Callithrix jacchus: one gene and its partners. The protein of the gene in region 3 purifies or fractionates together with the protein of the main gene of each other region. This does not show direct contact. Links are inferred from orthologs where the notes say so. Each region holds a gene or a part of one and is shown on either strand. Other genes may lie near its edges. The genes, in order: POLR3K, MED26, POLR2H, DNAAF10, POLR1E, POLR3B and CRCP.

Region 1 (4,107 bases), on a different chromosome or scaffold from region 3:
GTGGGAAATTTACCAGGGTAGCAAAAAACGGTATTAACTATAAATATTTTAACACAACATTTAAGAAGCACAAGGCCAATTAAAAAATCCATGAGCAAAATATCAAACATTTAGAATTGGCCGGGCGCGGTGGCTCATGCCTGTCACCTCAGCACTTTGGGAGGCCGAGGTGGGCAGAGCACGAGACTGAAACCATTCTGGGCAGCATGTTAGATCGTGCTACTGCACTCCAGCCTGGCTCTGTCTCAAAAAAAAAAACCCACTCAAACAAAGTATCGTGCCAAAGCATGTTGGTGCTTGAGGCAAATGGAACAATCAGTGCTACGAATCTTGCTCTTGTTTAAAACTAGATTTTTTTCTTTACTGTAGGCTTTTTTTTTTTTTTCATCAACTTTTACTTTTAAAACTATTACAGACTGGGCGGGTGGCTCACACCTATAATCCCAGCACTTTGGGAGGCAGAGGCAGGAGGATCGCCAGAGCCCAGGAGTTCGATACCAGCCTGGGCAACATAGTGAGACCCCCCCCTCTCTACAAAAAATTTAAAAATTAGCTGGGCGTGGTGTCCCGCACCTGTGGTCCCAATTACTCGGGAGGCTGAGGTGGGAGGATGGCTTGAGCTCAGGAGGTCCAGGCTACAGTAAGCCGAGATCGCGCCACTGCACTCCAGCTTGGGTGACAGAGCATGACCCTGTCCCCCAGACCCCCTCTAAATACAATTACATTAAAAGGTCATTTATTGTCACTCACTAGTGAGGTTTCTGGTGCCTCTTTAAATTTCGCGCCCCAGGCGAGTGCGCCCTACCCAGGTTAAGACCCTCGTTTACACCCAGAGGCGCCTTCTCCCATCAGCACCTTCAGAGGCTGCACGTACCCGAACGCCCCGGCTCCCGGCCCCCGGGGGAACGACCCCAGCCCCCCAGCCTCCGCCCGCACACACCTGGATCGGCAGATCGCAGAGCAGCGGGTCCTGCACCACCATGGCCAGACCCTCCTGGAACACGTCCACGGCCTCGGAGTGAGGCAGCGTCTCCTCTTCGTCCTCATCGTCCTCTTGCGCCTCGGGCCGACTCGCGGCCTCGACCTGCTCCAGGACTGCGCGTCTCAGTAGGGCCCCGCCCGCACTGCCAAGCCGCACTACGGAGGCCAAGTACGCAGGCGCAGGAACGGGGGCCCGCCCCAGCGAGGCCGCCCAGCCATTGGTGCATCGAGGGGAGGGGCAGTTGCAGTGACCAATGACAAGTACGAGATAGCCTGCTGGGCGCGCAGAATCGCCCTGTCTATTGGTTGGCTGGGCGGGGCGGGGCGGCTGCCGGCACCGACGTGAGCTCGAGGCGGGCGGTGTGTCGGCGCTGAGGGACGGCGGGAGCTGCTGGGAGCCGGGCCCTGTGGAGTCGGAGACGATGCTGCTGTTCTGCCCCGGCTGCGGGAACGGGCTGATCGTGGAGGAGGGACAGCGCTGCCACCGCTTCGCCTGCAATACGTGCCCCTACGTGCACAACATCACCCGCAAGGTGGGACTCGAAGGCGGGCGTCTCTCGCAGGACTTCCGCTTCCTCCGACTGCAGCGCCTTCGCCGCCAGCCCCGGCGTGTCTGTGCCTCTGCCCTTTCCTTCTCTCGTTTTTTTTTTTTTTTTTTTTTTTTTTTTAAAGTGAGACATCCTCTCGCTCTGTTGCCCAGGCTGGAATGCAATGGCGCGGTCTCGGCTCACCGCAACCTCCTCCTCCAAGGTTCAAGCGATTCTCCTGCTTCAGCCTGCCGAGTAGCTGGGATTACAGGCGCCCGCAACCACGCCCGGCTAATTTTTTTTTTTTTTTTTTTTTTTTTTTTTTTTTTTGAGACGGAGTTTCGCTCTTGTTACCCAGGCTGGAGTGCAGTGGCGTGACCTCGGCTCACCGCAACCTCTGCCTCCTGGGTTCAGGCAATTCTCCTGCCTCAGCTTCCTGAGTAGCTGGGATTACAGGCACGCGCCACCATGCCCAGCTAATTTTTTGTATTTTTAGTAGAGACGGGGTTTCACCATGTTGACCAGGATGGTCTCGATCTCTTGACCTCGTGATCCACACGCCTCGGACTCCCAAAGTGCTGGGATTACAGGCTTGAGCCACCGCGCCCGGCCTGGCTAATTTTTTTTTTTTTTTTTTTTTTTTGTATTTTTAGTAGAGACGGGGTTTCACCGTGTTGGCCAGGCTGATCTCAAACTCCTGACCTCGTGATCCGCCCGCCTCTACCTCCTAAGGTGTTGGGATTACGGGAGTCAGCCATTGCGCCCGGCTGTCCGCTCTTTCTCGCGCCCCCTTCCAGTCGGCAGCGGATCCCGTGGGCTCTGCTTTCCTGTACACCCGGCTAGGCCGCCGTTTCCCGCCTCCCTGGGTTCCTGCTCTCACGCTTGCGCCCCTTACTGCGTTCGCAGCAGCGGCCACGGCGATTCCGTAAGGGCCGAGTCACACAGGTCCGTGTTGTGCGCAGAAACTTTCGACCTTTCCCAGCTCACGCAGGGGAAAAGCCGGAGTCCTCCAGGACCTACCAGGTTCCGACACTGAGCCGCTGCCCGGCGCTCCTCCTGTTGCCCTTTGCCCCATCAACACCAGCCTCCTGGAGGACTGGCACTTAAGGTTGCTTGGTTCACTCTTCCCCTAGAGCCGGCTTACTCACTGGTCTGGTCTTGTCTTCAACGTTGACTGTATTTTAAGTTGCAGCCCTTCCTTCTCAGTTATCCTCCTTCCCTTTTTTTTTTTTTTTTTTTTTTTTTTGAGACGGAGTTTCGCTCTTGTTACCCAGGCTGGAGTGCAATGGCGCGATCTCGGCTCACCGCAACCTCCGCCTCCTGGGTTCAGGCAATTCTCCTGCCTCAGCCTCCTGAGTAGCTGGGATTACAGGCACGCGCCACCGTGCCCAGCTAATTTTTTTGTATTTTTAATAGAGACGGGGTTTCACCGTGTTGACCAGGATGGTCTCGATCTCTTGACCTCGTGATCCACCCGCCTCGGCCTCCCAAAGTGCTGGGATTACAGGCGTGAGCCACCGCGCCCGGCCCCTCCTTCCCTTTTTAATTGTTTCCATAGGGCTTATTACCTCCTAATATATTATGTAATGTATTGTGTGCTTTGTTTATTAATAGTAGGACCTAAGGTCTAGGCGGGCAGGGTTTTTCTCTGTTCCTTTCCATGTTCTATTCTGAACAACTAAAAGGAAACCTATGACATAGTAGCTGTTCAGTAAGCAGATGATGCACTGTATTATAACTTATTACTTTTCCTTAATAATACAGATTTGCTTTTTAGAATACCTTTACTTTTGTTTTTTTTTTTTTTTTTTTTGAGACACCGTTTTGCTCTTGTTGCCCAGGCTGGAGTACAGTGGCGTGATCTCGGCTCACTGCAACTTCCATCTCCGTGGTTCAAGTGATTCTCCTGCCTCAGCTTTCCAAGTAGCTGGGAGTACAGGCGTGCGCCACCACCGGCTATTTTTTGTATTTTTAATAAAGACAGGGTTTCACCATGTTGGCCAGGATGATCTTGAACTCCCAGCCTCAGGCGATCTTGCCTTGGCATCCCAAAGTGCTGGGATTACAGCTGTGAACTGTCTTTTTTTCTTTTTTTGAGATGGAGTCTTGCTCTGTTGTCCAGGCTGGAGAGCAGTGGTGTGATCTTGGCTCACTGCAACCTCCATCTCCCAGGTTCAAGCATTTCTTACGTCTCAGCTTCCCGAGTAGCTCAGCTACTTCATCCTCCTGAGGCATCTGCCACCACGCCCTGCTAAATTCTGCACTTTTAGTAGAGATGGGGTTTCACCATGCTGGCCAGGCTGATCTTGAACTCCTGACGTCAGGCGATCTGCTTGCCTTGGCATCCCAAATTCTAGGATTATAGGTGTGAGCCACCATGCCCGGCCAGAATACCTTTACTTTTCAGAAGTTAGAACGTCGTGGTGTGACCTCAGTCTTAATGTTTGCATACTACTCCGTTTTGTACTGTGTTGTGGGAGTGTAGAGTCTGAAACTGTGGGAAGAGTGAATTCTTATGCAGTCCTGAAATTTGAGGTTTGGAGGCCCAAGTTTGCACCATTTGGCTACTTTGAGTCTGAAGGCTTGTTTTTGTCAGGTA
Region 2 (2,322 bases), on a different chromosome or scaffold from region 3:
AGCCCAGCCTTGCAGCCTGGCCCTGCCAGCCGTTGGTGGCTCTCAGGCTGCTCAAGCCAGCGTACTGGGCTTTCCGAGCTGGACAGCAGCTCAGGCCGCCGCACAGGGGGTGTGGACGGCTGTGCCAGTGGAAGCGGTGACGGCACCTGTGTGGCATCAAGTGTCTGGGGCCGTGGTGAGGGGCTGGGCATGGAGCCCTTAGGTACATACAAGTTCTGCTGCCGGGCAAAGGAGCCCTCATGCCGTGAGTTCCGAGGACTGAAAGAGCAGCGAGGGGGCCCCTTGGGGTGGGGAGGCCCTGGAGTCTCGTCCACCCTGTCCAACTGCTGCAGCACTGAAGCCTTTGCCTGCAAGCAGGGCCCAGGGGGTTTACTCAGGCCTGGGGAGCTGGTGTGTGGCCGCACGGCATTGATGGGGATCTTGCCACCGTGCTTGTCGTTCTCACCACGTTCCAGGCGGCTGCCCTCCGGGCCTGCATGCCCGCTGCCATCCAGGGAGCCGGGGAAACTCTCTGGGCTCCCACTGATCCCATTGGTGGGGAGGGGGGATGAGTTGGGGACCAGGGGGTCATGGGTAGCTTTGGAGACCTTGGGTGGCGGCCCCGGGTGGCCAAGGTCACGCTGGTCACCCCGGCGCTTGCGGCTGCCCAGTCTGTCCAGCCGCTGCCCAGGCAGCCTCTGGAGGTCATTGCGGCTTTTCAGGTCGTGGATGCTCCTGGGCGGGCCGGCCGCCCCGACCTCTGGCCGGCAGTTGTGTGCGCCCCCGTTAGCAGAGCCGGTGGCCCCTGCCAGCCCCCGCAGTGCCACCTCATGCTGGTGTGCTGGCTCGATGAGCTTCTGCCAGCTCCGAAGTAGTTTCTTGGCCCGCTTGGCGAGCTCCTCGTTCTTGGTTTTCTTGCGGACGTCGTTGATGAGCTTCCCAAGCCGTGTTTCCTACAACCAGAAAGAGATGATGACATACTTTCAAGACAGGGGCTTCCCCACAAGCTGAGCCAGAAATGGTGGGAAGTGGCCCTGACTCTGAAATGACCCCATTCGCACTGAGCCCTAAACTGCCAGCTCCCCGACACAACCTCTGGGGATTTCTGGCCCTTTGTGACAATATTTTCTGAACCCAGTCCCCAGACCTTAAGGGTCACAGGTGGCTTCTTGGCAGTGCTTCCGGTGCCAGGGGGCTGTGGCCCGTCAGGTCACTGCAAGGACACTGCCAGAGAGGCTTTCTGGGTGAGAGGGTGCCGTTGCCAAGGTGACAGCACAGAGGGCCTGCTTCAAGTGGAGGGCTGGGGATGGTGCCACTCACTGGAGCCTTCCCCAAGCACACCTCTCCCGATGTCCCCCACGTGCCCACAAAGTGGGCATGCAGGATGGGATTAACATCACTCCGTCCCTGCAGTGCCCATGGGAGACCATGATCGTGGGGCACATGCTGTGACGGCACACTGCCTCTCTTGGTCCTCTGAAGCAAAGAGACTGATGTTCCCAAGGACCTGGTTTGGAGCCGCCCCCTGCCCCCCGTTCTGCCCTCCCCCATGCTGGGGTGTGGGATACTCACCTCAAGTGCCTCTTTGGTAATGGGGTATTTCTCCAGGCTGGAGATGACTTCCAGCACCGCCACCATGTTCCGGATCTGTGGAAATAAAAAGCCATTTGTTAGGTGCCTGTCCTCTCCCCCTGGGAGGCTGAGACACCCAGCCCCAGGCTGCTTGGGTCTCTCCCCAACCCCAGAGCAAGAGGAGCTGGAAGCACTGAAGCCCACACTCCAGGTAGTCTCCTACCTGCTCCCTGGGCCAACCTGGCACCCAGTGCTCATCCCCACCTGCCGTTCGACCTCCTCTAGTGCATGGTGTGTGGTCTGCCCCAAGCCCTTACACAGTGCATACCCACCCACCTACCTGCTGAAACCCAGGACTCTTAAATCAGAGCTGCTCCTGATAGTTAAGACGACCTCTACTCTGCCATATGATGGGAGTGGGAGAGGGGACACTGAAGAATTCATTGAATAAAATGCACAAAGCTTAGAAGATCAATATATAGGCCAGGAGTGGAAGCTCATACCTGTAATCCCAGCAGTTTGGGAGGCTGAGGCAGGCAGATCATGAGGTCAGGAGCTCGACACCAGCCTGGCCAACATAGTAAAACCCCGTTTCTACTAAAAATACAAAAATTAGCCAAGTGTGGTGGCACGTGCCTGTAGTCTCAGCTACTTGGGAGGCTGAGACAGAAGAATCGCTTGAACTCGGGAGGTGGAGGTTGCAGTGAGCCAAGATCGTGCCATTACACTCCAGCCTGGTGACAGAGTGAGACTCCATCTCAAAAACAAAAG
Region 3 (2,619 bases):
CTGTCCACTTCCACTTACCCTCCCTCCCGGGTCACCACTGGAATGTAGAGCAGAGAGCCAGCTCCTCCACCTGCCTCCGGAAGCACCAAGTCCTCTCCTCCGACTCTTCAGAGTCATCCCCCATGCCTGTAGCTAAAAGCCTCTACCCAAATCTTCCACAAAAATAATGAAATAATGAGACTATGCAAGTGACTCATTCAAGTCAATGTGAACTGACTCTCTAAGAGACTGAAAGTGTTGGAAGGACACGAGCAGGGCTCCTTGCCAATTCAAACTTCTGTGCCAAATGGGTGGTATCTTCTGGGCCTGGGGTGCCCTCAGGAGCCAAAAGCACAACACTCCCTCTCCCAGACAGAAAACCACACTGGAGGATAAACGTTGGGAACAGTCAGCCAGGAGACTGGGATAACCCTGAACCCAGATACCAAAAGGCTGGAATAGATCCTACAATGGCAAGTGATCAGCTGGCTGCGGGCCAGAAACAGTACACCACAGACAAATTGGAAAAAATGATTTTACAGTAAACGAACTTTTTACAAAAAGGGGAGGGGCAGTCTGAAAAAGTAACATTTGATTAAAAATCATATACACAAAGCTTCCTATTGATTTTAAGCTCTCCCACTGTGTCTTTCACAGGCGAGTGAGTTTCTAACTGAGTGCAGGCCAGTTAAAGATGCAGCCACAGTGGACAGGGAACCAGCCCCTCCTCAACAGGTAATCAAGAGCAGCTGCAACTCAAGCTAGAACGATGTCCAGGACCTGAGTGACGTGGCAGCAAGGCTGGCTTCAGGCGAGGTTCAGAAGGCTAGCTTCTTCATCAGCAGATAAACTCTGGAATCCACCTCAAATCCATGCAGGTTGTTGGCATCCCCCTGCAGCCTCATGAGCAGGCCCCCATAGGACACGTAGGCAGAGCTGAAACAGAAGGCCGCATGCCATGAGTCTGGAGCAGCTACTACTCAGCAGCTCTCCATCTCAGCCTAACAAAGAGAATAACATCTTTCTACTGTTTTGTCACTAGGAACCAAAATTCTGACAAAGATGAATGTACAGATATGTGTAAGGCACTGTTCTTTTTTTCTTTGGGACAGAGTTTCTCTCTTGTTGATCAGGCTGGAGTGCAGTGGTGTGATCTTGGCTCACCGCAACCTCTGCCTCCCGGTTTCAAGCAGTTCTCCTGCCTCAGCCTCCCAAGTAGCTGGGATTACAGGTGTACACCACCACACCTGGCTAATTTTATATTTTTAATAGAGATGGGGTTTCTCCAGGTTGGTCAGGCTGCTCTCAAACTCTCAACCTCAGGTGATCCACTCACCTCAGCCTCCTAGAGTGCTGGGATTAGAGACATCAGCCACTGCGCCCAGCCAGCATTGTTCTTTCTATTAGCAAAGTCGAAAAACACCTATATGCTCCAAATCAGGGGAATGGGATCCACTTACTGAAATGTTATCTAACTATTAAAATGTTTAAGAAAGCTTTACACTAACATGGGGAAACATTTTCTTTTTCTTTTTCTTTTTTTTTGAGACGGAGTCTCTCTCTGTCTCCTGGGCTGGGGTGCAATGGCACAAGATCTCAGCTCACTGCAACCTCCGCCTCCTGGGTTCAAGCAACTCTCCTGGCTCAGCCTCCCAAGTACCTGGATTATAGGTACCTGCCACCATGCCCAGCTAATTTTTTGTAATTTTTTTAGTAGAGACGGGGTTTCACTATGTTGGCCAGGCTGGTCTCAAACTCCTGACCTGGTGATCCACCCACCTCGGCCTCACAAAATGTTGGGATTACAGGTGTGAGCCACCACGCCCGGCCAAAACATGTTTTACATAATGTTAAGCAAAAAGCAGAAAAAAGGTAATTAACACCGCAGTCTCAAAGGAAAAATATAGATGTTAAGAACACTAGGATATTAACAAAAAATTAAAAATAAATTTAAAAAAAGAACACTAGGATATGCAAAAAAGTCTATGTAAAAGGTTCTCTCTGGGTATGGAATGACAGGGTTTTTTTTCTTCTTCACATTCTCTTCCGCATTTCAAATTACTTACAAACAGCACATATTGTTTTAATAAGATTTTAAGGAAAAGACACACACACACACACACACACACAGCCTAATAGTATAATCACTTAATGCTGCATTTGGTTCCTCCATACTTTAACAGGGAGATGACCAGTTTCTCTTCTGGACCACTAGGCCAGGAGGGCCTGACAAAGGGCAGTCTACAATTCAGACTGGAAACTGCTCTAATAACCATTTCTTTCTAGTTCCCACCTATGTCTGAGGTGCCTAAGGAGAAGGACCCAACAGAGGAAGCAGAAGCATAACTCAAAGTCTCAGAACAGGGAGGGGGAAAACAATCCTCACAAGATCATGTAACTTACAGGCGTGTTGCCGCTTCAGTAGAAGTTTCGTCTCCCTCAATCCTGTATACTTTCCCATACATTACATACTCAAATTGGTCAGCCCTATGGAGCAAGAGTAGCAAAGTTATTCTTAACAGTAATTAACAATATAAAAGATGCCATTTAAAAATGGTAACTGGTAACTCGATGCCAGCATTTTAACAACAGGCACATTATAAACATGACGCCATTTAGTCCTCACAGCAATTCTGTGAG
Region 4 (4,207 bases), on a different chromosome or scaffold from region 3:
TTCTATCACAAATACATATTACTTTTGCTACAAAAGAAAATTATCTTTTTAAAATTTGCTGAAATTCCCTAGCGTTTCTACAAAAGACAAAGCACTCTACTCCACCTAAAGGAGTAAGCGTACTTTTGAAATGCGTACAAATCATATATTCTTATTTTATTATTTTTTGAGGCAGGGTCTTTCTCTGTCACCCAGGCTGAAGTGCAGTGGTGCAATCATGGCTCACTACAGCCTTGACCTTCTGGGTTCAAGACATCCTCCCACCACAGCCTCCTAAGTAGCTGGGACTACAGGCACATGTCACTATGCCCAGCTAATTTTTGTATTATTTTATACAAAAAGTAAAGATGAGGTTTCATCTTGTAGCCCAGGCTGGTCTTTAACTCCTGGGCTCAAGCAATCCACCCCTCTGCCTCCCAAAGTGTTGGGATTACAGGTGTAGCCACTGCACCAGGCCTATTCTTATTTTAAAAAGTCACAAGTCTGAGCCCTGATCCTGCCACTGTACTCCATCCTAGGCAAGAGTGAGAACCTATCTCAAAAACAAAAAAAAAGAAAAGAAAAATTTCAATCATGTCCCATTTTCTTTGAAAAAGGAATAAATGGCCAGATGCAGTGGCTCAAGTCTGTAATCCCAGCACTCTGGGAGGCTGAAGCGGGTGGATCACCTGAGGTCAGGTGTATGAGACCAGCCCGACCAACATGGTGAAACCCCATCTCTACTAAAAATACAAAAAAATTAGCTGGGCACGGTGGCAAGCACATGTAAACCCAGTTACTAGGGTGACTGAGGCAGACTAGTTTGAACCTGGGAGGCGGAGGATGCAATGAGCCAAGGTCGCGCCATTGCACTCCAGCTCGGGCAACAGAGCCAGACTCCGTCTCAAAAAAAATAAAAAATGAAAATCCTTTAAATGCCTTTTCTTTTTAATGGTAGCTCACACCTTATCCTGCACTTTGGGAGGCAGAGGCAGTAGGATGGTTTGAGCCCAGGAGTTCTAGGCTACAGTGAGGTATGACAATACGACTGCAGTCCAGACTGAGTGACAGAACTACGCCATCTCTAAAAAAAAGAAAACAACAATAAAAAACAAAAAGAACCCCAAATGCGATATAAAGAAATTTTACTTTGTGTAGAAATCAGGAAGGACATCATACATTAGATAATCTGAACTGAACATTAGAATAGCAACAGGTGGCCGGGTGCGGTGGTTCACTCTTGTAATCCCAGCATTTTGAGAGGCCGAGGCGGGCAGACTGCTTGAGCCCAGGAGGTGGACACCAGCCTGGGCAACATGGTGAAACCCCATCTCTACCAAAAAAAAAAAAGTACAAAAAAATTAGCTAGGTGTGGTGGCACACACCTGTATCCCAGCTACTCTGGAGGCTGAGGTGGGAGGATCCCTTGAGCCAGGGAGGTGGAGGTCACAGTGAGCTGTGTTTTCACCACAGCACTCCAGGCTGGGTGACAGAGTGAGACCCTGTCAAAAAAAAAAAAAAAAAAAAAAGCCACAGGTTACTGGACGCTAAGGAAAGGTAAAAAGGAATAGGCCATGTTTCATGTTTGTTATTCAGGGAAATTTCAAGTGGGATGGGGTCTTACATACTTTCTATTCCAGACTTACCAGTCCAAACAACTGTATTCATCCTTTAGCTACCAGTGTAGTCCCTACCTCCTCCAAGCCGATTCTCTCCATAAATTTTGATCCCCAGAGTTCTTAACCTTCCCTGCGCTAGTAGTCTATTACAACCCTGATCTGATTATGACTGATCTTTTTTCTTCTTTTAGGTAACCTAAATTAAGAGTTTTTAAAAACTATAAACAGCTATAAAATGCTAGTGATTATTATTCTTTAATTCTTTCGCTAGTAATCAACGTGTAAACCTAATTTTGCCACACCCTGCTTAAATCCTTTCAATGGTTTTCCATTTTTCTTAGAAAAAAGGCATAAATCCTTTCAATGTCCTACAGCTCTTGTAATGTCTGCTTCCTGCTTACCCCTCTAGTTTCTTAAGGAGATAAACTTCCTCCCATCACTGAGCTTCTGCATATGCAGAAGCTCTGGAAACCTTGTCCTTTACTCCTCGTTCGGCCTAGTTTATGCACATACCAAAATCAGTTTTTACTCATCCCAAATCTGTTTTCACTCTCAGAGAGCCGTTATCATGTTACTTTGTGTGAGACAAGTCATCTCAGTTTGTATTTACGTATCGTTGCTTTGATTACCGAACTGAGTATCTCTCCCACTAGAAAATAAACTCCATGAGATCGGGGACATTGCCACTGACATGCCTGGGAATACCAGGCACTCAACTGATACCTGTCGAATGTGTTAGGTTGCCTCTTCCAACTATACTGCAGGCATACTGGTGCCCGCTTTGGCCGGACTGCACTGGGAGTGACAGGAGGGTTGGACACGGAGGAACTAGCCCGCGGATGAGCATAAACATTTTAAGTAGGAAACATTCCTCAGTCGGCGGTCAGCTTCTCTGGTCTTGCGCGGCTCAAGCTATGCTTTGGGGGGATGCTGCACGAAGACTCTGGCAAAGAGAAATGCAGATCCCAGGATCTGCACGCGCTCCCAACGGCAGTCCAGATGCTTGACCCGGCACCCACCTCCCGAAGCAGCTTCAGGTCCCCGTGCTGGATCTCGTACAGCTGAATGACGCCGGTGCCCCGTGCGAAGTTGCCCATGGTCACAAATTTGGCGCTGCAGGGCACCCACTTACAGTCAAACACCGTGTAGTTGAAGCCCTTCTGGATATGGGCGATGATCTGAGGCTTCTCGAAGGCCGACATGGTCCAGCCGATTTCAGCTCCGGCAACCGCCACACCCAGAGCCCCCCAAAACACCAACCTGGAAACCAGACTCCAAACATGGGCAATTTGACCCTCCTGCTTTCCGTACTCTGCCCCAGATGCCCTAGAAAGTTGGCTGTGGTTATCTCCGGATAATGCCAGATACGCTCCTGCGATCGCATAGAATGTTCCTTCACAACAAAACGAATTTGTTTATCGCCTTTACCCACTGTCTTTAGCACACATACATATTAGAGATTACAAAATACTTGTGCTGTGAGTGGCGTGACTGGAGTGAGACGATGAGCATCAGGCATATCTTAGGACAGCCTACATGCCCTTTCCACCCCGCCCCCAAATTCTGCAGGTCCCCGGCCTGTGGCGTTTTAGGATAGGGGCGGAGCTGCGGGGGTGGTTGGCAGAGGCTGGCTCCTGCGCTGTGGAGCAGCGCACGTGTTTCAGCCGGAAGTGCTTTAAGAATCCCAGGGTTGGAATCCGAAATGGAAGCACAGAGCGCCGGGGCAGAGGACGGCTTTACCCAGGTCACCCGCAAGGGTGGCCGGCGGGCGAAAAAACGGCAGGCTGAACAGCTGTCCGCAGCGGGAGAGGGCGGGGATGCGGGCCTTATGGACACAGAAGAGGCCAGGCCGGCGAAGAGGCCAGTCTTCCCGCCCCTCTGTGGTGACGGGCTCCTGGTATGTGGCTGGGACCGTGGGATAGCAACGAGGCAATGGCCAGAGGCCAATCAAGCCGGTGGCCTCTGGGCTATGTTGAAGCTGCGGGGGGCTGTTTTGCTGAAAGAAGTGATTCTTTGAAGTGTAACTAGTTCAGTTAAAGGAAGCCCTTTGTGGATCAGATGTCATTTTACAACTCCATCACCATCCCTCCATAGTTTCCTGAGTTGTGTGTTCTTTTATTACAGAGTGGGAAAGAAGAAACAAGGAAAATTCCGGTCCCAGCTAACAGATACACACCATTAAAAGAAAACTGGATGAAGATATTTACTCCTATTGTGGAACATTTGGGACTTCAGATACGCTTTAACTTGAAATCAAGGAATGTAGAAATCAGGGTAAGGAAAATCTCAGCCATTTCCCAATACACCACGCTTTCTCTCCTAGAGATGAAAAGGCTTGAATAGACTTTACTTAAGGGGACGTATTCTGTTAAATGGTTTTTGTCCAGTTTAAAAATTTACTATATTGAGTTTGAACTTCCCAAATGCCTTCAAAATCTGCATTTGATACAAATATTAGTTGGATTTGTAAGTTCTGAGATCATACCAAAATACTGGTTCGGCTTCTGTATATCTTTTATAATGTTCAATATCAAATTGAGAAAAGGTCGAGTAAAGAGATTGTCATAAATAGAAGTAAGTAAACAATGAACATAAGTACTTGCTGCTTT
Region 5 (3,500 bases), on a different chromosome or scaffold from region 3:
TGAGGTCTGGGCGGGAGGCAGTGGGAGGGACAGGGTGCCCAGTTTGTGATCTTCTTCATCACCGGCAGCCACAGACACCCTTCTTTTGGAGATCTTCAGCCTCATGGCTTTGGCTATCTCCATCATCCTAAGGAAGACACAGAACAATGGGAGAGACTCCTCAATGTGACTGTTCAGGGAGGTATGGCAAAAGGTAGCAGCACATTCATGCTCCAGGCCATAAAGACAGAATCCCAAAGGTTGCCAGCAGGAGCAAAGCCCCAGGCAGAGGGACAGGCAAGGTCCCCTCACCCACTGAAAGCCCTCAGATAGACAATTTCATTTTAATGTGCCGCCCTTCGAAAGATCCATGTGGGTGATGAAAAACCAGACTATCTTAGAGCCCTATGGACAACTTTCTTTACCACCCATAACCAAATTTTTAGCAATCAGCATTGAGCACTTGCTAGAATCTGATGGGTTCCAAGTACCTGTTCTCTTTTTTCAGCCCCAGGGCCTGTGGGAACACGGTCTGTGGACAGCTCTCAGAACAGTCCCTCCATGGACTGCTAGGAGAGTCCAGACGGAGGTGTGTTCACTGGATCTCCTAGACACCATCTGGGTCCCTGGATATCACATGCCCCTATATCACTGACAAAGATCAGCTGACCCCACGGTTTAGGTTCCCAGGCAGCTCTGCCCCTACTGTCTGAATCTCCTCTACAAGGTTAGAGGGAGCCTGAAAGGTCATCCCCACCACCAGCTCTCCCAGTCGGGTCAGAAAAATGCAAATATGACATCCCTGCCAAACAGTGGTTCAAGGTTCCACCTGTCCTTGAACACCTCCCCTGGGCAAGCCCTTCCATCTGATTCTGAGGAAGCTCTTCTTACTAAGTGGCAGTTGGGTTCTCCTACAACTTCCATCCTTGGCTGCATCCTCAGAACCATACAAAATCCCTCTCCCCAGTAACAGAAATTCAGAGAATGGAGGCTGCTTGGTTATTCAGGAACAGAATGTTATGGAAAGGCTCAGGTCTGAAGTCCAACTGCTCCCCTCTTGGTTGTATAACTTTGAGAAAGTCATGTACTTTTCTAAACCTGATTCTTCAATTGTTTTCTAGGGAAATCAATGAGATAATGACAATTTAAGACTGTGCCTTGCAAAGAGAAGGCACTCAGTAATGTCTAGTTGCTCATTCAGTCAATTATTGATTCATTGAAAATAGACCTCTAGTTCCAAGTTGTTCCTACATTTAAAAATCCTCAGTTCCCTTAGTGGCGCCTCATGCTTTCCAGTGGTACCAGAAGTAAGACATCAAGGTGCCCTGCAGGGAGCTCTTTATTCTGTTGTGCTCACCTTTTCTCACTGAGCTTCAGGTCCCTCTGTAACATTGTCAGGTCAATTTGGAAGTCATTTATGTGCAAGGCAAGTATGATCACATATGCAGTAATCTTCGCCTTCATAGAATCCGAAATTAAGTTCCGTAATCTAGAATATCAATGGCAATGAAGAAACAAAATTAAAGTCTAAGACAATTTCTCCAAAAGCAAAATAAGAACATCCAAGCGTATTCCCATATGCACTCAGGAACTAAAGGAAAGGAAAAGGAATGTAGATGGCTTGTTTGCCCTCCCAAGGTTCCTGGGCCTCATACACAGTGGAGCAGTGTGCCAGTCCACATTTCCCTCTGAGAGGGAGAGAGAAAGCTGGGCCTACACACTCCCTGGGTACCACTAGCACTTCGAGCTGGTGAGGGCCCTCTGAGTCTGTCCCCGCCTGCATAGCAGGGTTGCTGGGAAAACATTCATTCCCAAATCAACTGTGCTGATTCTTCAAAGCACACCCAGGAGCAGGAAACACATTCCATGCAGATGGCAGGAAGGAAAGCCCACGGGCATTGCTTGTGGGTCTTTCCCCAAAGTCCCCAAGTTGGCCTGCCCTTTCATGCAACGTTGCCTTTGCGAAGAACACCAGCTCTGTGGGACATCACGAAGGGCTCCTCAAAAGAAGTATGTGACGTAAAACAAGTCTCTATTGTAGGACTTCCCAGAGCTTCTAAGATTCCCAAAAGACAATACTTTTCCAAAAAGGACAGAGTAATATTTAGCGTTTGCTGAACTTTCTGGGGCCCCAGGAGACTTCCAAATGGCAGCAATCTCTTTAGCACTGCATATCTGTGGACATGAAATTGAGTCCAAGCCCCCGCTCCTCACTCCCCCTACCTGCTTTCCCTTGCACAGGAAAAATCCCAGAAACCACCCCCTGACCTGCCATTGTTGTACGTCAAGCAGGTAAAGTGCTTCAGCAGTTTGGTGTTGATGATGTGGGGAATGTCAGGTCCCAGGGAATCTACAACACAAAGTTAAGTTTTATCATTTTCTCTTAAAACTCTCAGGCCACACCTCAACCATGAGCTGAGAGAAAAGGCCAACAGCTGGGCCACTGTAATGACCAGAACCAGGTGGTAAGAGAAGCAGGACCCACAAAGCAGAACAGCCATGGCAAAATGCAGACACGCTCGGTGCACTTCTGCTGGCAGACCTCCCTGCAAGAGTGATGCTGGTGAGGGGCCAGTAACAAGAAACCACAGCCCGAGGCCTAAGGACACAGAATTTTTTTTTGAGACGTATTTTTGCTCTTGTTGCCCAGGAGGGAGTGCAATGGCACAATCTCAGCTCACTGCAACCTCTGCCTCCTGGCTTCAAGCAGTTCTCCTGCCTCAGCCTCCCAAGTAGCTAGGATTACAGGCATACCCCACCACACTTGGCTAATTTTGTATTTTTAGTCAAGATGGGGTTTCTCCTTGTTGGTCAGGCTGGTTTGGAACTCCTGACCTCAGGTGATCCACCCACCTCAGCCTCCCAAAGTGCTGTGATTATAGGCGTGAGCCACAGGCGTCCCAGTAGGACGCAGATTTAACATGACGTTAGAAAACAAAATTGTGCTGAAAGCTCAGAGAGACAGAGAGGGAAAGGTGGAATTGGAATGTGAAAATAAGAACTAAGTGGCTGGTCGAGGTGGCTCACACCTGTAATCCCAGCACTTTGGGAGGCCAAGGTGGACAGATCACCTGAGATCAGGAGTTTGAGACCAGCCTGGACAATACAGTGAAACCCCACCTCTACTAAAAATACAAAAATTAGCCAGGTAATGTGGTGTGTACCTGTAATCCCAGCTACTTAGGAGGCTGAGGCAGGAGAATCGCTTGAACTCGGGAGACGGAGGTTGCCGTGAGCTGAGATTGTGACACTGTACTCCAGCCTGGGCAATAGAGTGAGACTCCATCTCAAAAAAAAAGAACTAAGCAAATACAGACTGGGCGCGGTAGCTCACACCTGTAATCCCAGCCAGCACTGTGGGAGGCCGAGGCAGGTGGATCACCTGAGGTCAGGAGGTCAAGAACAACATGGCCAACATGGAGAAATCTCATCTCTACTAAAAAAAACAAAAATTAGCTGGGTGTGGTGGTGCCCACCTGTAATCCTAGCTACTTGGGAGATGGGGGCAGGAAAACTGCTTG
Region 6 (3,500 bases), on a different chromosome or scaffold from region 3:
TGAATGCAAGGGGGAGGAAGAGAAAAGGAAACTCTTTTTGAAGGCCCACAACCTCTATTTTTAATGACATGATTCTTCTCTACCATTCTTTCAAAGCAAATTATTCAAAAGTCCTTGTGTCAAATTTGAAGATTTAAGCATAGTGGAACTAGGATCCAGGCATCTTCCTATTACATGATTTATTTTCTTTTTGGTTGCACAGCCCAGACTATAAAAAGCAAGTTCAACATGCATTTCAAAAGACAAACAGACATCTCAGGACGGAAGCAAACCCCCATCTCATTCCTATAAGAAAGAGCTAGGCTTATTCTTGGAATCATGTCACCCGTTGTCTGCAACATTATGGAAGATGAACTGCAAATGGCCACCTCTTCTGTCAGTTTTTAAAATGAAATGATTTCTTCACAGACAAAGAGTCTTCTACACCAAAATCATGAAATAACTGGCTAAAAGGTTTTGACATTTATCTGGCAAGGTATACAGTGTGTTCTAAGAAGCTCATTTGTTCAACTTGTGATTGGCTTTTTTCAACTTAGAAATTAGTAGTTCAGAATGACAAGAAGTTGAGACTCTGTCTGGAAGGAGACTTTACAGTGGGGACTCAATGGGGAAAAGGTGGCCCACATATTCCTCAAACCCCAGCAAATGAATGCTATTTGGACCTAACTATATCTTGGGGATGACCCCTCTCTACAGAAAAGGCACTCTGGGGAGGGCAGGTGAGGGCGATGGGGGCATTGAGGCTGTTTGGCAGCTCTATGCCTTCTGCCTTAGATCTTGTTGGACCTTGCCTCTGATTGAAAAGTAAAGAACTCACTTTTAGATGGGCATGGTGGCTCATGCCTGTAATCCCAGCACTTTGGGAGAGATCACTTGAGCCCAGCAGTTTGAAACAAGCCTGGGCAACATGGTGAAACCCTGCCTCTATAAAACATACAAAAGTTAGCCAGGTGTGGTGGTGTGAGCCTGTAGTCTCAGGTACTCGGGGGACTGATGTGGGAGAATCACATGAGCCTGGGAGATTGAGGCTGCAGTGATCCGAGATTGCACTACTGCACTCCAGCCTGGGCAACAGAGTGAGACCCTGTCTTCAAACAAACAAAAAAATAAAATGCAGAGTATCATTCATCCAGTACTTTTTGATGAAGCATATACCAGGTCCCAGTCTGGAGAAATGAGGGTAAACATGACAGAATGCAATGACAATGAACTAGAAGATAAGCTCCTTGGGAGCAGCCATCACCTGTCTCGTTCACTGCTGCATTTCTGGGGCCTAGAACAGTGTGTAGCACTTAGCAGACACCTACTAAATGTTTGCTGAATAAATTAATGAGACAGACCCAGCTTCTGCCCTGACAGAATCTACAGTACAAGTGTGAAGGAGCTTGCCACGGCAGAGAGTATAGACAGGGGCAGGGTACCAGATCTTGGTCTTGGCACCAATTTGCTATGAGAGCTGGGGAAGCATCCCTGGCTCTTTGGGTCTGAAGTTGCAAATGAAAGCACTTGACATAATCTTCTTTAAAGAGGTTCTTTAACACACTGTTATTCTAACATCCACAATACATCTGCTAGGACTTTCACAGGTAAACAGTGTTGTAAAAAGTACCTGAGATAATACTTAAAAGAAGATAAAGTTTATACTCCTTGGGAGCTTAGCCTCTGGTTGTGTAGGAAGTAGATCATCATATAGACTAATGATACATGCGCATAGAGTATCCCCAATGACAGGAATACACGCATGAGAAAGGGTATGTTAGTGATCACTGACAGAGACTAGAGAACATGCCAGTAGGATCCACGGTCATTTCTTAAGCTATGATTTAAGAGGCAAGGAGTGTGGTATGGGAGACATATGGTATTCACTTACCAGCCAGAATACCCGAGAAGGCCACACTTCCCACAGACATCAACCTCAAAGGCATCACTTGAAATCATTAGTCTCTCTAGCAAAAGCATACTGGCTCCATAACCGATTAAACAGTCACGTTCCATTTCCCCAAGACGCAAGCCACCATCACGAGACCGTCCTTCAGTGGGTTGCCTTTGAAACAAGTTATTAGACAAATGTGTTCTTATTCTATTAAACAAACAATGAGGCAGCATCACATCCTGGCAGAGAACACGAGGCTTTGGAGCAGGGCTCGCCTGGATCCAAATCACTAACTGGACAGTGACTTTGAACATGCGGCTCAGCCTCGTTGTAAAAGTGCATAAGCATACCTATCCCAAAGAGCCTCAACTGAGAAAAGATGTATTATTGATGGTTCTTATGGTTAAATGAAATTAATATATAATTACATAATATCATATGATGTAATAACATGTTAATATATAATCACAGAAAACACCAGTGCTAGCATTACTATTACCATCACTATCATTATTATTAGGATAGCAGAGTTTTCAAATCAGGGAACAAGTTCTTTGAGTATTTTCAAAGATGTCTCAGTATTCTATTATTTAAAAGCAGAAAAACTAAGCAGAACAGACTGTGGGAGAAATCTGGATCCTCCAGTAGTTTCAGCCAGAGCTGTTAGCCCCTTGAATGGATTCCCTGTGGTTTATGTATATGCTGGGCTTGAGAATACTTTAAAAGGCTCAGAATCCAGGACCTAATGCAGGTAAAATTAGGGGTTCTCAACAATTGAGGCAATGCTATGTAGGTATGGATCATACAAATTATTGGGGGAGGGGGAAGCAAGCTCCCTGGCAGGCTTCTTAAAGGTAATCTTTGAGCAGGGGTGACCATGCACCCGTTGTCTGCTGTATTCCATGGCATCTTTTAATCTTTGTTGTTGCTGCCAGTCTCCCCAAGAATTAAGAAGGTGAACACAGGGTATGCCAACACATACTGAAATTTTAAGATTTTTAAAAATTGTGGTTGAAAGTTTCAATGTGAGATCAAAGAAGTTGTAGATTACTTGTTGAAGGGAAATCTACACATGAAGAACTTACAAACAGGTCTAAATAAACACATTATAGTGGAAACTTCATAACTGAGCACATCTATACATTTTTACCTGTAGTAGAAAAACACATGGGTAGTTGCTCCCTGCACCTGAGGTCACTGAACAAGGTAAAGGTAGACAGACCATATGTAGACAGAATCCAATACTTGGATTTTAGCCAACTGAGATAACTGACTACAGACAAATGCATTCAAGGCAGTCTTCATATGGCAGACACAAAAGTAATACCAAAGTAATAACTTTTTCTACACAACAAAGCAAAATATAGGAAATAACTGCTTTGACATTTATGTTACTCTCAAATAGTTTTTGGATGTTGTAACTGAAATGGAAGTTTAGAGGAGACAGCATTTAGGGGAGAAACACATCTGACCCAATTAGGGTCTCACTGCTGAGGTGATTATTATCTTGAGAATCTCCTCTCTTCTCTCTTTGCAATTTTAAGCACACATATGTCTATCATTTCAGTAGACATGTGCATGTGCTCAGTTTGAAATGGTCAAGGAATTGAGTCATCTACATCTCTTC
Region 7 (3,500 bases), on a different chromosome or scaffold from region 3:
GTATCAAAAAAAAGATGAAAAGTACAATAAATCATTGCTGACTGTAGTTACCCTGTTGTGCTATCAAACACTCGATCTTCTTCCTTCTACGTTATGTCCATTAGCCATCCCTACCCACTCCCTCTACCCTTCCTAGCCTCTGGTAACCATTCTTCTCTCTACCTCCATGAATTGTTAAGTTGTTTTGTTTTGTTTTGTTTTTTGAGACAGAATCTCACTGTTACCTAGGCTAGAGTGCAGTGGCACAATCTCAGTTCACTGCAAACCTCCGCCTCCCAGGTTCAAACAATTCTCCTGCCTCTGCCTCCTGAGTAACTGGGACAGGTGCACACCACCATGCCTGCCTAATTTTTTTTGTATTTTTAGTAGAGATGGGGTTTCACCTTGTTGATGAGGCTAGTCTCGAACTGCTGACCTCGTGATCTGCCTGCAATCACCTCCTCAAAGTGCTGGGATTACAGGAGAGAGCCACTGCACCCAGTTCCAATCTGGTACTTTCAATGTTGCCTGTTAACAGATTTCAGCTGAAGCTCAGATGATACCGCTAAGATGCATGGAATTGCAATCCATTGCCTGCGGAGTGGAGAGGATGGTTCAGAGATAAGTCATCCAATTAGCACTGAAAATATGTAATCTTACAAGAAAAGGAGTGTCAGTTTAGAAAAGCTAATGTCTATGACCATTTTCTTCCCTAAAACAGCCAAGAGAAGGAATGTGGGGAATCTGGTTTTCAGCAATATTTGCAGGACCTAAGGCAACCAACCAAATGCCTAGAGCAACTACACTTTCCAAAGCCTGAATATTAAAAACGTCTTCACATGGTAATCATCTTAATATTTTAAATTCAAAAAGATGCAACCTTGCAACAGCCAGTAAATGTTAATAATTAACCAACCTCCAGTTCTTACATATTCTGTGAAAAGAGCTACCTGGTTGTGTCCTTGATGAAGGAGTAAACGATTTGCCTGTTGTCCAAATGACAATCACCTGGTCTCAACATAAAGCACCTGCCCTGGGCTGCTGTCTCACGGCAGGAAAGTGGGGTGGCTGGAAAGGCAGCCGACACTGTTTCTGCCGCCACTGCCACTGCCACTGAGCCTGGGGCGCCTGTTTTCAACTGCAGTGATCTGGTTCCTAAAATTTAGCCTTAATAGAGAGCCAGTAAAGAAAGCCCCGCCAGCAGAGAAAGGGGCCTCTAGAGCTGTTGAATGGCCAGGCTGGTTCTTTCCTTATCTCTGTTGTTCTCGAGGAAATTCCTCTAAAGTGAGCCAAGGTTAGTGGATCATTTTTCACTTAGAGCAACTCTCTGGGGCTCTAACCAGATTCCCAACAGCACTCTGAGCCCCCGCTTAGTAAGTTCCCAGGAAAGCAGATGAAACTAATTAGGACATGGCCCATCAAAGGCGACACAAGCATTTTCCCCCGCTGTGTGCAGAGACCTCCCCACAACCAGGTCGAAGGCCTTGGAGGAAATCTTTCCAGCACAGAGGGGTCCGAGGTCACTGGCCCCACCTTCAGCTCTCAGCCTGTCTTTACCACGTTTCTTATCCCCAAGGCACAAATATTTCTTTTCAGCTTATTTTTGTGATGTATCCAATTAATCATGAAAGCCAGGCCTGCTGGGATAGAGGGTAAAATCAAATAAACAATCCTCTTAAAGTCCAGGAAACAGCTGCCGGGCCTTTTAACTTCCTGAAACACCAGGGCCAGCTGTGCTCCTCTATGCTGGGTCCTCTTCATCCATTGTCCCGTCGCTGTTAGCATTCTTCTTCTGCTCAGCCTCCGGCCCTGCAGGCAGAATGCTGGTGACAGTGTGGAGAAGAGCTTCAATCTGCTCCTCTGTGAGTCGCTCTTCACTCTCTTCCACCATCTGCAGAAGGAAAGAAAACCTTCCAGGGTTACAAATGAAACTCATAGCCCTGGGTAGCCCTGCTCACCGCGTGTGCTCATGGTCTCAGCCTGGCCTCCTGACACACAGACCTCATGGCCTAGGTCCTCGTGAGTCCTCTCCATCTTCCAGATTGAAGGGTGGAGCCAACTCACATCCTGGACTGAGCCAGTGAGAAGGCTCAAAATGGGTCAGTAAAAATAGAGTTGTAGGATAGCATTTTTCTTTTCTTTTTCTCGAGATAGAGTTTCGCTGTTTGTTGCCCAGGCTGGAGTGCAGTGGTGCAATCTCAGCTCACTGCAACCTCTGCCTCCCAGGTTCAAGTGATTCTCCTGCCTCAGCCTCCCAAGTAGTTGGGATTACAGGCGTGTGCCACCATGCCCAGCTAATTTTTGTATTTTTTGTAGAGACAGGGTTTCACCATGTTGACCAGGTTGGTCTTGAACTCCTGACCTGATGATCTGCCTGCCTCAGCCTCCCAGAGTGCTGGGATTACAGGCGTTGAATCACCGCACCTGGCCTAGTATAGCATTTTTCTTTAAAGAAAAGGAAAACGCTATCCTGGGCAGCACAGTAGAACCCTATTTCTAAAAAAAAATTAGCCAGGCATGGTGGTATGTGCCAATAGTCCCAGCTACTCAGGGGGCTGAGGTAGGAGGATCACTTGAGCCCAGGAGGTCAAGCCATGCACTCCTCCAGCCTGAGTAACAGAGCAAGACCCTGTCTCCAAGGAAAAAAAAAGAAAAATGTTAACAGTTATATACACAGAAGTCAACAGATTGTATATGCACCTCTGAGAAGTGAAATGGTACTTTCTGTACTTTTATATTTCATGAGCACATCTGTAATTATTATTATTTTTTTTTTTTTGAGACGGAGTTTCGCTCTTGTTACCCAGACTGGAGTGCAATGGCACGATCTCGGGTCACCACAACCTCCGCCTTCTGGGTTCAAGCAATTCTCCTGCCTCAGCCTCCCGAGTAGCTGGGATTACAGGCGCACATCACCACGCCCAGCTAATTTTTGTATTTTTAGTAGAGACGGGGTTTCACCTTGTTGACCAGGATAGTCTCGATCTCTTGACCTCGTGATCCACCCGCCTCGGCTTCCCAAGGTGCTGGGATTACAGGCGTGAGCCACTGCGCCCGGCCCAATCTTTTTTTTTTTTGATACAGAGTCTTGCTCTGTCACCAGGCTGGAATGCAGTGACACGATCTCGGCTCACTGCAACCTCTGCCTCCTGGGTTCAAGTGATTCTCCTGCCCCAGCCTCCCTAGTAGCTGAGATTACAGGTGTGCACCACTACACCCAGATAATTTTTTGTATTTTTCTTTATTTTTTTGAAACGGAGTTTTGCTCTAATTGCCCAGGCTGGAGTGCAATGGCACAATCTCAGCTCACTGCAACCTCCGCCTCTGGGTTCAAGCAATTCTCCTGCCTCAGCCTCCCCAGTAGCTGGGCTCACAGGCACCTGCCACCACGCCTGGCTAATTTTTGTATTTTTAGTAGAGTCGCAGTTTCACCATGTTGGCCAGGCTGGTCTTGAACTCCTGACCCTGTGATCCGCCTTCCTCGTCCTCCCTCCCAAAGTGTTGGGATTACAGGCGTGAGC

Evidence for each region.
Region 1: the proteins of POLR2H (region 3) and POLR3K purify together in Homo sapiens (affinity purification with mass spectrometry; 3 studies listed by BioGRID and IntAct, with this or other methods). This does not show direct contact. The link is inferred for Callithrix jacchus from reciprocal best matches to the Homo sapiens genes POLR2H and POLR3K.
Region 2: the proteins of POLR2H (region 3) and MED26 purify together in Homo sapiens (affinity purification with mass spectrometry; 3 studies listed by BioGRID and IntAct, with this or other methods). This does not show direct contact. The link is inferred for Callithrix jacchus from reciprocal best matches to the Homo sapiens genes POLR2H and MED26.
Region 4: the proteins of POLR2H (region 3) and DNAAF10 purify together in Homo sapiens (affinity purification with mass spectrometry; 3 studies listed by BioGRID and IntAct, with this or other methods). This does not show direct contact. The link is inferred for Callithrix jacchus from reciprocal best matches to the Homo sapiens genes POLR2H and DNAAF10.
Region 5: the proteins of POLR2H (region 3) and POLR1E purify together in Homo sapiens (affinity purification with mass spectrometry; 3 studies listed by BioGRID and IntAct, with this or other methods). This does not show direct contact. The link is inferred for Callithrix jacchus from reciprocal best matches to the Homo sapiens genes POLR2H and POLR1E.
Region 6: the proteins of POLR2H (region 3) and POLR3B purify together in Homo sapiens (affinity purification with mass spectrometry; 5 studies listed by BioGRID and IntAct, with this or other methods). This does not show direct contact. The link is inferred for Callithrix jacchus from reciprocal best matches to the Homo sapiens genes POLR2H and POLR3B.
Region 7: the proteins of POLR2H (region 3) and CRCP purify together in Homo sapiens (affinity purification with mass spectrometry; 3 studies listed by BioGRID and IntAct, with this or other methods). This does not show direct contact. The link is inferred for Callithrix jacchus from reciprocal best matches to the Homo sapiens genes POLR2H and CRCP.

Annotation. Positions count from the first base shown.
Region 1 is NC_133513.1:2,334,473-2,338,579, reverse strand, and holds the start of POLR3K (DNA-directed RNA polymerase III subunit RPC10), read left to right. Parts: upstream 1-1,307; 5' UTR 1,308-1,403; coding exon 1,404-1,514; intron 1,515-4,104; coding exon 4,105-4,107. Other genes in the region: SNRNP25 (U11/U12 small nuclear ribonucleoprotein 25 kDa protein), read right to left, coding at 941-982. UniProt on the Homo sapiens protein: Core component of RNA polymerase III (Pol III) which synthesizes small non-coding RNAs using the four ribonucleoside triphosphates as substrates. Can mediate Pol I proofreading of the nascent RNA transcript.
Region 2 is NC_133523.1:15,193,626-15,195,947, forward strand, and holds part of MED26 (mediator of RNA polymerase II transcription subunit 26), read right to left. Parts: intron 1,627-2,322; coding exon 1,552-1,626; intron 933-1,551; coding exon 1-932. UniProt on the Homo sapiens protein: Component of the Mediator complex, a coactivator involved in the regulated transcription of nearly all RNA polymerase II-dependent genes.
Region 3 is NC_133516.1:13,344,881-13,347,499, reverse strand, and holds the end of POLR2H (DNA-directed RNA polymerases I, II, and III subunit RPABC3), read right to left. Parts: intron 2,467-2,619; coding exon 2,383-2,466; intron 916-2,382; coding exon 798-915; 3' UTR 501-797; downstream 1-500. UniProt on the Homo sapiens protein: DNA-dependent RNA polymerase catalyzes the transcription of DNA into RNA using the four ribonucleoside triphosphates as substrates.
Region 4 is NC_133515.1:45,714,018-45,718,224, reverse strand, and holds the start of DNAAF10 (dynein axonemal assembly factor 10), read right to left. Parts: upstream 2,801-4,207; coding exon 2,618-2,800; intron 1-2,617. Other genes in the region: RNA-binding protein PNO1, read left to right, coding at 3,301-3,495, 3,723-3,872. UniProt on the Homo sapiens protein: Key assembly factor specifically required for the stability of axonemal dynein heavy chains in cytoplasm.
Region 5 is NC_133502.1:144,473,317-144,476,816, reverse strand, and holds part of POLR1E (DNA-directed RNA polymerase I subunit RPA49), read right to left. Parts: intron 2,330-3,500; coding exon 2,248-2,329; intron 1,469-2,247; coding exon 1,337-1,468; intron 128-1,336; coding exon 1-127. UniProt on the Homo sapiens protein: Component of RNA polymerase I (Pol I), a DNA-dependent RNA polymerase which synthesizes ribosomal RNA precursors using the four ribonucleoside triphosphates as substrates.
Region 6 is NC_133510.1:109,362,176-109,365,675, reverse strand, and holds part of POLR3B (DNA-directed RNA polymerase III subunit RPC2), read right to left. Parts: intron 2,045-3,500; coding exon 1,871-2,044; intron 1-1,870. UniProt on the Homo sapiens protein: Catalytic core component of RNA polymerase III (Pol III), a DNA-dependent RNA polymerase which synthesizes small non-coding RNAs using the four ribonucleoside triphosphates as substrates.
Region 7 is NC_133503.1:3,198,850-3,202,349, forward strand, and holds part of CRCP (DNA-directed RNA polymerase III subunit RPC9), read right to left. Parts: intron 1,871-3,500; coding exon 1,721-1,870; 3' UTR 1-1,720. UniProt on the Homo sapiens protein: DNA-dependent RNA polymerase catalyzes the transcription of DNA into RNA using the four ribonucleoside triphosphates as substrates.